Drosophila melanogaster: one gene and its partner. The gene in region 2 interacts genetically with the main gene of each other region. Each region holds a gene or a part of one and is shown on either strand. Other genes may lie near its edges.

What was found. Genes that interact genetically often act in the same process or in processes that back each other up.
Region 1: of foi (region 2) and Zip42C.1, changing one suppresses a phenotype caused by changing the other (phenotypic suppression), as found in Drosophila melanogaster (one study listed by BioGRID).

The regions. Positions count from the first base shown.
Region 1 is NT_033778.4:6,715,590-6,719,685, forward strand, and holds Zip42C.1 (Zinc/iron regulated transporter-related protein 42C.1), read right to left. Parts: upstream 2,119-4,096; 5' UTR 2,088-2,118; coding exon 1,070-2,087; intron 994-1,069; coding exon 953-993; 3' UTR 753-952; downstream 1-752. Other genes in the region: Zip42C.2 (Zinc/iron regulated transporter-related protein 42C.2), read right to left, coding at 2,952-2,992, 3,053-3,944.
Region 2 is NT_037436.4:8,523,323-8,528,534, reverse strand, and holds the start of foi (fear-of-intimacy), read right to left. Parts: upstream 3,292-5,212; 5' UTR 2,831-3,291; intron 1-2,830. Other genes in the region: GstO1 (glutathione S transferase O1), read left to right, coding at 3,733-3,760, 3,818-4,401, 4,461-4,582, 4,638-4,668; GstO2 (glutathione S transferase O2), read left to right, coding at 5,104-5,134. UniProt on the Drosophila melanogaster protein: Required for the normal migration of longitudinal and peripheral glial cells. During larval development, required for the migration of the subretinal glia into the eye disk.

The DNA.
Region 1 (4,096 bases), on a different chromosome or scaffold from region 2:
CGGCGGCACAAGTTCAACAGAAAATGTGGGGCGACCGGAGGTCGTATAAACAAAAGCACAGTGCACCCGAGTGCGGAAATCGCGGCTGTAAGTGCTTCAAATGCACGCAGGAGTCGGGAATCGGGGAGGAACTTTCGATTCACCCAATCGCTGGATTTCAATTGATTACTTAACACGCTCTGTCGCGAGAAAAATAGGCTATCTCTACTGCCGCGGCCCTTAAAAATATAGAAAAGTCGTATAGTCCACCACACTAGCACCACACGTCCGTTCGCACTCCAATTGGAACATCATCTGACCGTTGCCGTAACAGCGGCTGTTAATGCAGCCCGTCGAGGGTGGAAATTTCGATAGCATGTATCGAAATATGGAAAAGTTGTAGTTTCAGAAAACAGAGTTACAGCGACTTACAACATGATTCCCATTAAATATTAACAGTTGCTGCTTACCTAAGAAAGTTAAACAATTGTAATTTTAATGCGATATGAAGTTATCGATAGTGCCCGCGCGCGAATAATGTTGTTTGGGTACTGTTAGCGTGAAACACTGTTACGTTACCCCACAGATGTTCGATTAAGCCCTCTGTTAATGAGAATGAACCGCCAACTTTATCGATAATGTTGGTTATGAAGCGTACGCGCAGTAAGATCAAACTAATTTATGAAGAGGTGATTAAAATATTTGGATAGACGCTCTTATACGTAATATATTAAAATTTATAAAAAGCTTAAAGAGCCTCACTAGCTGAATATAAAGTAAAATATTGTCTCTTTTAATCCATATGGTTATTACATTTTTAATTATTTGCGTTGGATAAGATTTCTGAGAAACCTCTTTTGAAATTCTATTCGTATTTTATATAATAACTTTTACAGATCCCCAGGGAATCGTTTTGTATACTATTTTGTTGCTTCCTCTATAACTTGATAATACTGAAGTGGCGTCACACTGGCTAGGAACAGGTTAGGCTGTCATCACCCTCCGCTTCGTCAGCTGTAAAAGAGACAAAAAGTAGAAATGGAAGCTAAAAAGCCGGTCCTACCGTTAATGTCAAACAGTTGTAACTCACAAAGAATTTGAAGGCCAAACATTAGAGCGAATCCCGCAACGGCGGCCACAAGGGCCCTCCATCCGGCATGGCTCTCAATGAGGATCTCAAAGAAGACTACGTACAGCAAGGTTCCACAGGCGATGCCCTGGAGGACTCCGGATGGCAGACTGGGCTGACCCGCTGCCACCTGCTGGCTGATGCCGAGGCCAACACCGATACCGATGGGTGTAACAATGGAGAATGTCACCAGGTACAAGATGGCCAGCGAACTGCGTGTGCGGGCGACCAGAAGCTCCATACCCACGCAGAAGGCCAACACCAACTTGTGGGCGGAGACCGCTCCAAACATGAACCACACAGTGCTCACAGTGCCCTCCAGACCAATGGCCATGCCCTCGAACAGTTCGTGGAGCGAAAGGGCGAGGATAATGCCCAGCCCCCTGGCAGAGGATCCATCGTCCGCTGGCACGGGCATGTGCGAGTGGCCGTGGTGATCCTTGTGTGGCTGCGGTTCCGTATCCTTAACTTCCACTTCTTCCTTCGCCTGTGGATTGAGGAGAACACTGTGACGAATGCTGCGTCCTCTTTCGAAAGCCAGACTGGCCACCGACTCTTTCCGACTAAGCTTTCCCTGGTGGTGCCGCACGAGGCTGGTCATCAGCTCGTCCAACGCGTACATCAGGAAAAAGCCCGTGCACAGCAGCATCTCCGCCAGAGCGAAGGGCGTCTTGACAAGCGAGCCGCATTCCTGGAGCGCTTCCACCACCTCGATCACCTCGGGCAGCATGTGCAGGAAGGTGGTGCAGATGAGCACACCGCCGCCGAAAAAGAGTAGGCACCGCACCACCAATGACGAGCGGGTTTCCTCCGGACTCGCCTTCGTCCAATGGAAGCACCTGTTCAGGACGTAGGGAAGGCTGCCGCAAAGCACGGTGATCACCACGAGCACCACCATGGAAACTATTTTGGCCACCAGCAGCGCATGGTGATCCACGTCTTGCGTTTGCTCTTGTGACATAGTTGCGGTAGCGCTCATCTTCACCTCCCGAGTTGATAGCTTCGACTGTGCTGGCTGGAACTCACAACCAGGCTAATGGTTTATATTTCCAGTCATATATCAGCGGGAGCCGATTGAAATCTGATCGCTGATTGATACGCGGATTCACTGGCAGACAGCGGGCAAGCCTCGCAGCCTAGTATTGTTATCAATTCGCCGTCCCCTGGACAGGTGTCTCTCGTCGGCCCACCGATAACCGAACCATAGCCGTCTGTTCTTTGCGAATTTTATGATTGAGGGAAGTTTCGTAATGTGCAGGAACTTCGGAAGTATTTCCCGAATATTATTATTATTGATACACTGAGATAATTTATTTGTCCATCCAAGGCGGTCTCATCTTAGGTTTATATGGTAAGGATTGCAGGCATGGAATTAAAATCGCAGCACATTTTTTAAAAAGTTAAAAAGATTCTAGCCATATATGTAAATATTCTTGACCAGGATCAGATGATTTCGCCACGCTTGTTTTTTAATTTTACTAAATTTGTTTATAAAATAAATTTACATTTATCAAAATAAAGGTGTGATAAATGCAGAAACTTCCATGCCAAAAGTTGTTCGAATCGGATCATTTATTTAAAAGTTATGGGCAATTTGGTAATTAGTATGTAGCAACCGGTAGGTGGAGCTAATGTGCGCACTCGGAGAATGTCCTTTTGTTGATGCCACTTATAAATTTCCCTCGCAGAAGGGCGTTTAAAGGGTATCTCATGGTCGATGACCTGACCTTGCCGTCCTCTTTCCCCATATTTATAAAGCCAAAAAGCCCACGCTTTATTTTTCGGTAGTTTCTTTGAATTTCTCTATAGGCTTAATTGTTTTCATATAAAATTCGAGTATACCCTAGGGGCATGTGAAATGGCTCTTCCCTTTGGCCTCTCCAACTGAAATAATAAGAGTGGTAATTTGGTTTTTCAGTCATTTGGGCTTTTTAGTATGCTTACTTGCTATCTGGAGGCCAAACATCAGGACGAATCCCACCATCGACGAGAGTAAAATGCGTATGCCGGCATGGTTTTTGGCCACAATTTCAAAGAAGACCACGTAGATGAGGGTGCCACAGGCCAGCCCCTGGAGGATTCCTGATACCGTGCTGGGCTGATTAGCCGCGGCAGATTCGCTAACTGCAATTCCGATGCCCACGCCAATCGGAGTTACGATCGAGAAGACGAGGAGGTAAACCACGGCCAGCAGCCAGCGGGTATGGGCCATCATGATCTCCATGCCGATGCAGAAGGCCAGAACAAGCTTGTGGACGGAAATGGCTCCGGTCATGAACCACACCGTGCTCACACTCATCTCCAGGCCAATGGCCATGCCGCCGAAGAGTTCGTGCAGGGAGAGGGCCACGATTATTCCGAGGCCACGCAGCCAGTTGGGCTCCTTGGGGCTTTCTTCTGGCTGGACCACAATCTCTGTCCGCAGCTCCTCGCCCGCATCCTTGATCGTGACCACCTCCCGTAGCTTCCTTTGCTGCCGCCGACGAACCACAAAGTGCATGGTTTCCTCAATGCAGTACATCAGATAGAAGCCAGTGCAGAGCAGAACCTCCGGCAGGCCGAAGGGAGTGGGGGCCAGCATGCGGCAGTCCTGGAGAGCGTTCACCACCTCGACCACCTCCGGCAGCATGTGGATGAAGGTGGTGGCTATGAGAACCCCTCCACCGAAATTAAGCAGACACAGCACCACTTTGAATTCGCGAGCATTGTTCTCGGGCCTCTGGGTCCACTTGTAGAAGCGATCCAGAAGATAGGGAATAAAGCAGAAGATCAGGGTAACGAGGAAGAGCACCACTATGGCCACGATCTTGGCCACGATTAAGTGTTGGTCTACCATTGCAAACGGAGTAACTGGCCCGATATCAAGCCATTCACTTTTTATAGTGGAATTGATATCTATTCAGTTAGTGGAAGGTATCGGCGAATTGTCGAATATTTACACATATTAAGGGCTTAGTGGTTTCGACTTAAGTTGGCCGAGCAATGTGC
Region 2 (5,212 bases):
AACGAAAATTAGAACTCAATGATTCCATCTTAATTTTGAGCTCTTAGCCAAAATACTTAATGCGGTTCGAACTAAGATCTAATTAAAACGTCAATATTTTAGCAGATCAACGTATTATTATTTTTATTCCATTCAAACTAATTAATTTAAAAAAAAAATAATTTTTTGGCCAGCCTTCAATAATTTAATTATTTTACCATTGCAATCTGGTGGTCTGAGAATTTTAAAAAAATGTAATCTGAAAGTACTATTAGTACTTCTATTAAATTTACTTACTATTTTTTCAATATAAATAAATAAATAAACTTTAGGAAAAACTGCTTTGTTTTTATTGTTTAAAATTGCACTTTAAAATCGTACATATCGAGAGGCTACTGTACCAAAAACGTACGATTAGATTTGCTGAATCGACTTTAGTTCGCATAACATCTCCATATCGAAAATCGCACGCGTCTGTTTTTTCCGAATTCTCGTGGTAATTGTATAGTCGGCAAGTCACTGAACTCGCTGCTCTCTGAATTCCATGTGTACACCAAAATTTCGCATGATATCTCCAACGAATAGTGCTGTCCCATACGGATTAAATTTCCGCAGAGTAACCCTTTTTAGATGCGGAAAGCTTATGCAGCTGAGTCAGCATAAATGAATTTCATATACATAGAACCTCCACATAAATTCGTTTGGCATCGCAAAAGATCTCCATGCTGAAATTTCAGGATAAGGGTGGGTCTCATTTCGCAAATTGTGAAATTCCAAAACGTTCTGATTACTTTTCGATGAGTCAACATCATGAAATTTCACATTAAATCTCAATTTCATATACTCAAAATTCCTGGAACCCATTCCACATTTTATGCTTCGATCGCACAATCAAATTTCGCATGACATCCGCACAAAAAGCCTAAAATTGAACACGCGATCGCTCAAAGTTCAATAGATAAAACTTGATGAGTAAATTTCACATGATATGTACATACATGGTATCTCCACGTTTTTAGGCCCCTGACACTGCATAATATCTCGTTTTATACATGTCACAACCTTAAACTGCGAAATTAAATCTAGAAACGTACTCGTAGAACTCCTCGCAAGATTTATGAACAACTACTATGCACAATCTACAGTTTGTTTAGCCTGAAATTTCCACCGTACATCTACATCTCCAGATCGTCTCTCTACCTGCTGAGCAATTTATCTTTTATCTTGGCCGCAACACAAACACGAAATTCATACCTGAAACTTCAGCGAAATAACCTGCGAAAAGGTGTACCCAAGAATCCAAGCACATACATACACACACAAATTTGGGCATTATCTTTTTTTTTTTTTGTTTTTTGGTTTCTACCTTTTCATAAGCCAAAGCTTGATGTGAAATTTCAGCAGTGTGTTTAGGAAGATATGAAAAACCTCGCGTCATGTGATGGCCACATGGAACTGAAGTTCTGGATGGGTAGAAGCCAAGTACACACAACTAGACTAAGCTGAGGTCAATCACGTCGGATTCAGATTCGGACTCGGTCTCGGAATCCGAATGGACAGCTACGGATCCAATCCGATTGGATCAAATCCGTACGGAACGAGGCTCTGACCTTGCCATGCTCGCCGTCTGCTGAATTACATACTATGTACGCTGGCTGGCTGGCCGGTTTAGTATTCAGCTAGTACGACCCACCAAGTGACACATAACTGATGTTGAAGGGCTGGCCATATGCGATAAATAATTCATCTGGGGGCATCGAAATGATCGTGGATCGCCGAGAAACGTTTGTTTTCCGTATTGAGTTGTTGGTTGCTGAAATGGTTGGCTGCCTCAGTTGTTGGCGCCTGGTTGCAAGGCATTCATAGCTGATATTGCATTTTTTTTTATTTGCAAATATACATATCAATTTTTGCAAATTACGCTGGCTCATGAATAATTGATTGGCGGCGGGCGTTTGGCGGAGAAATGGAAAAGTTCGCGCCCGATAAGGATGCTTCCCTTTTGGCCACCACCGGCACCACTATCTATGATTCATGCACCACCTACACTTCTAAAAAAAAAAAGACAAAAACAACAGAACTATGTGGAAGGCAGCCAAAAGTGCGAAAGGAACACATGTTGATATATGGGTCAGTGGCGATAACAGTGACGGCTTCCAAAGGGGGTTACGCATCCGGAATACAACTTAAATATTTCATATCCCTCAATGCGCAATACAAATATAAAATCTAATGACGTTATGTGTAAGGTGATAAGAGTATTTATTTACGCAAAATGTAAGCTGTGTACGTCGAACACGTGGATTGTAATTGTAACTATGATCGTTTGGATAAGTCTATTGATTTAAATAGAGAGAATGCTAGAGATAAAGCATACGCGATGTGAAGACTCATCCACGTTGTCTTCCCCCTTGAAATCTTATCTAGCCCCGCCAGTGGATGATAAGCATTCTGGCCCGTTTGATAACACTAATTCCATTGATTTTGCGTAATTAGGCTCTGAAGATAGCGAGCATGGAAATGGTATCAGAATTGCGCTGAATTATGTATAGAACACATTGATGATGTCGATCGAAAATAGCATAAAAACGTGCTGAATATCAGTGTAGTTACGTGTGCATCTGCGTATGTGTGTGTACAACAAATACATATGGATGTAAGTGAGCGGGTGTCAAAATCACACGCACATGGAAATGTCCCGCTATAAATAAATACGAGTGGGTGGTGGTGGGTGGATTTTGGGCGGTGGGAGGTGGAATGGGGGCGCGTCGCATGCACTTTCCATTCTGAACGAACTTATGCCAAGATTAAACAAAGGCGAATAATTAATGCAAGCCCACTACTAACTCACCCGTAAATTTGCCGGACTGTTTAGCACATCGCACACTGTAACACACACTCACACAATTCCCACTAGAGTTATTGCGGGATCGAAGATAATGCTGGACGATTCTGGGAGCTATAGCTTTTGCCGATGCGGTGGGCGTGAATGAAAGAGGCCGTAGAGATTACGCCGAGTGTCAATTACGTTGCAATAATCTCGGTTTGGCACGGGAAATCGAATCGAAGCGAGTCCGCATGGAGCGGCGAGATTTGCACGGGATACGGAGTACGGGATGCGGCCACCAACACCAACACGGGCTCAGTTACGCAAGGGCGAGCTTACTGTAAACATTTTCCGGACACGCTAAACATATGCCGCAGCAGCCATCTCTCTTTCGCTCACACCGCCAAACACAAGAAATCCGCAACTAAAACAATTTTGTTATAACAATTATCGATAGGCGGTAGGGATGTGGAAAAACACCGAATCATCCGCGATAGGTATCGGTGTTCCGTTGCTATCAACGCTACACATCGATGGCGATCAATGTAACCTCTTGCAGCAAATATTAAAAACGATAAATATAAATTGATTTTAGATTAATTATGTATATACAATATGTATTTGGAGCAGTGATGCAAATAGTCTATTATGGATATATAACCATAAATTATTGAAATTAAAGTCCTAAATAATAGATGAATAGATGACTGAATTATATTTAAAAAAATTAAAGTTGTAAAAATTAATATTTAAGATTAAGATAGATTTTTTTAAACCGATTAAATAATAATTGATTAAAAATACATCAATCCTGTAAAAAGACAATACGTTATCGAGCCACCTTAACGTTTACTGTCAAATATCGATAATTGTCATAACCCGCAAAACAGGTTGTGTTCCTTTCCAGAAAAAATTGTATTGCCAATATGAGCAATACTCAGCACTTAACTATTGGTTAGTATAAGTTACTAAGTTCCAAATTCACATTTAAAAGGCGCATATATATTGCAGGCTCGCCAAAGCCCGTATTTCCGGATGATGGGATCTTAAAGCTGTATTCGATGCGCTTTTGCCCCTATGCACACCGTGTGCACCTGGTCCTGGATGCCAAAAAGATTCCCTACCACGCTATCTACATCAATCTTCGCGACAAACCCGAGTGGTTCTCCCTGGTGAGCAGCTCCACAAAGGTGCCGGCACTGGAGCTGGTCAAGGAACAGGGAAATCCTGTGCTGATCGAGTCGCTCATTATTTGTGACTACTTGGACGAAAAGTATCCGGAGGTGCCATTGTATCCCAAGGATCTGCTTAAAAAAGCCCAGGAGAAGATTTTAATCGAACGTTTCGGACAGTTCATCAATGCCTTCTACTACCTGTTGCTGCACGACAATCCCGAGCAGCTGGTTGACACCGATCACTATGCCGGATTGGTCGTTTATGAGGAGGAACTGAAGCGACGTTGTACCAAGTTCTTTGGTGGCGACAGCCCAGGCATGCTTGACTACATGATGTGGCCCTGGTGCGAGCGCTTTGACTCTCTGAAATACACTTTTGAACAAAAATTCGAATTGAGTCCGGAACGTTTTCCCACTTTGGTGGGTCCTATTGGTTTTCTAATTATGTCTTTTAAATTACCGAGATTGTTCTACTGCAGATTAAGTGGCGCGACTTGATGATCCAGGATCGTGCTGTCAAGTGTTTCTATCTGGATGGACAGACCCATGCCAAATACATGAACTCCCGGCGATCGGGCCAGGCCGATTATAATATGCTATAGTAAGATTTGAAGATTATACATATAATGTGTGACTGATCCATTTCTCGTTTCTAGCAATGAGGCCAAACGTGTCAAATTGGGGTAGTCTACGGGATGATGGCGTTTCCACTTCAGCATTGTACCTTTTGCACATATAACATGTAACACATGTACCTACTACGGCAGCATTATTGTGATTGAAAAATAAATCTTTGCATTTTCATTGTTTATACGGGTTGTAAGTACGTTTGTTTTAGAATTAGATTAATGAAGGTATGAATGATAAATGGATATGAAAATACTTATCTTAGAGTAGTCGTTTGTAGTCTTTAATATGTGGTCAAACAATTTTCTTAAATATGAGCTTAAGAATTTTAAATTCACCCGCTCAACAATCGAAATATATTCGATAAATTCACTCGTCCGGCGACTGCGACCACTTTATAAGGTACCGGAATCCCTCTATTTGTTGTCAGTCGATCGGAACTACTTTGCCACCAACATTTCACGTCTTGGGAATTATTTTAAAATTGTTAACAAAATGGCCCTGCCGCAAAAGCACTTCAAGAGGGGTGAGTTGGGGGCACTTCAAGGTCATCGGGATAGTGACGCTGCAAAAGTTGGCAATTGATTTCATAGTTTTATCTAGA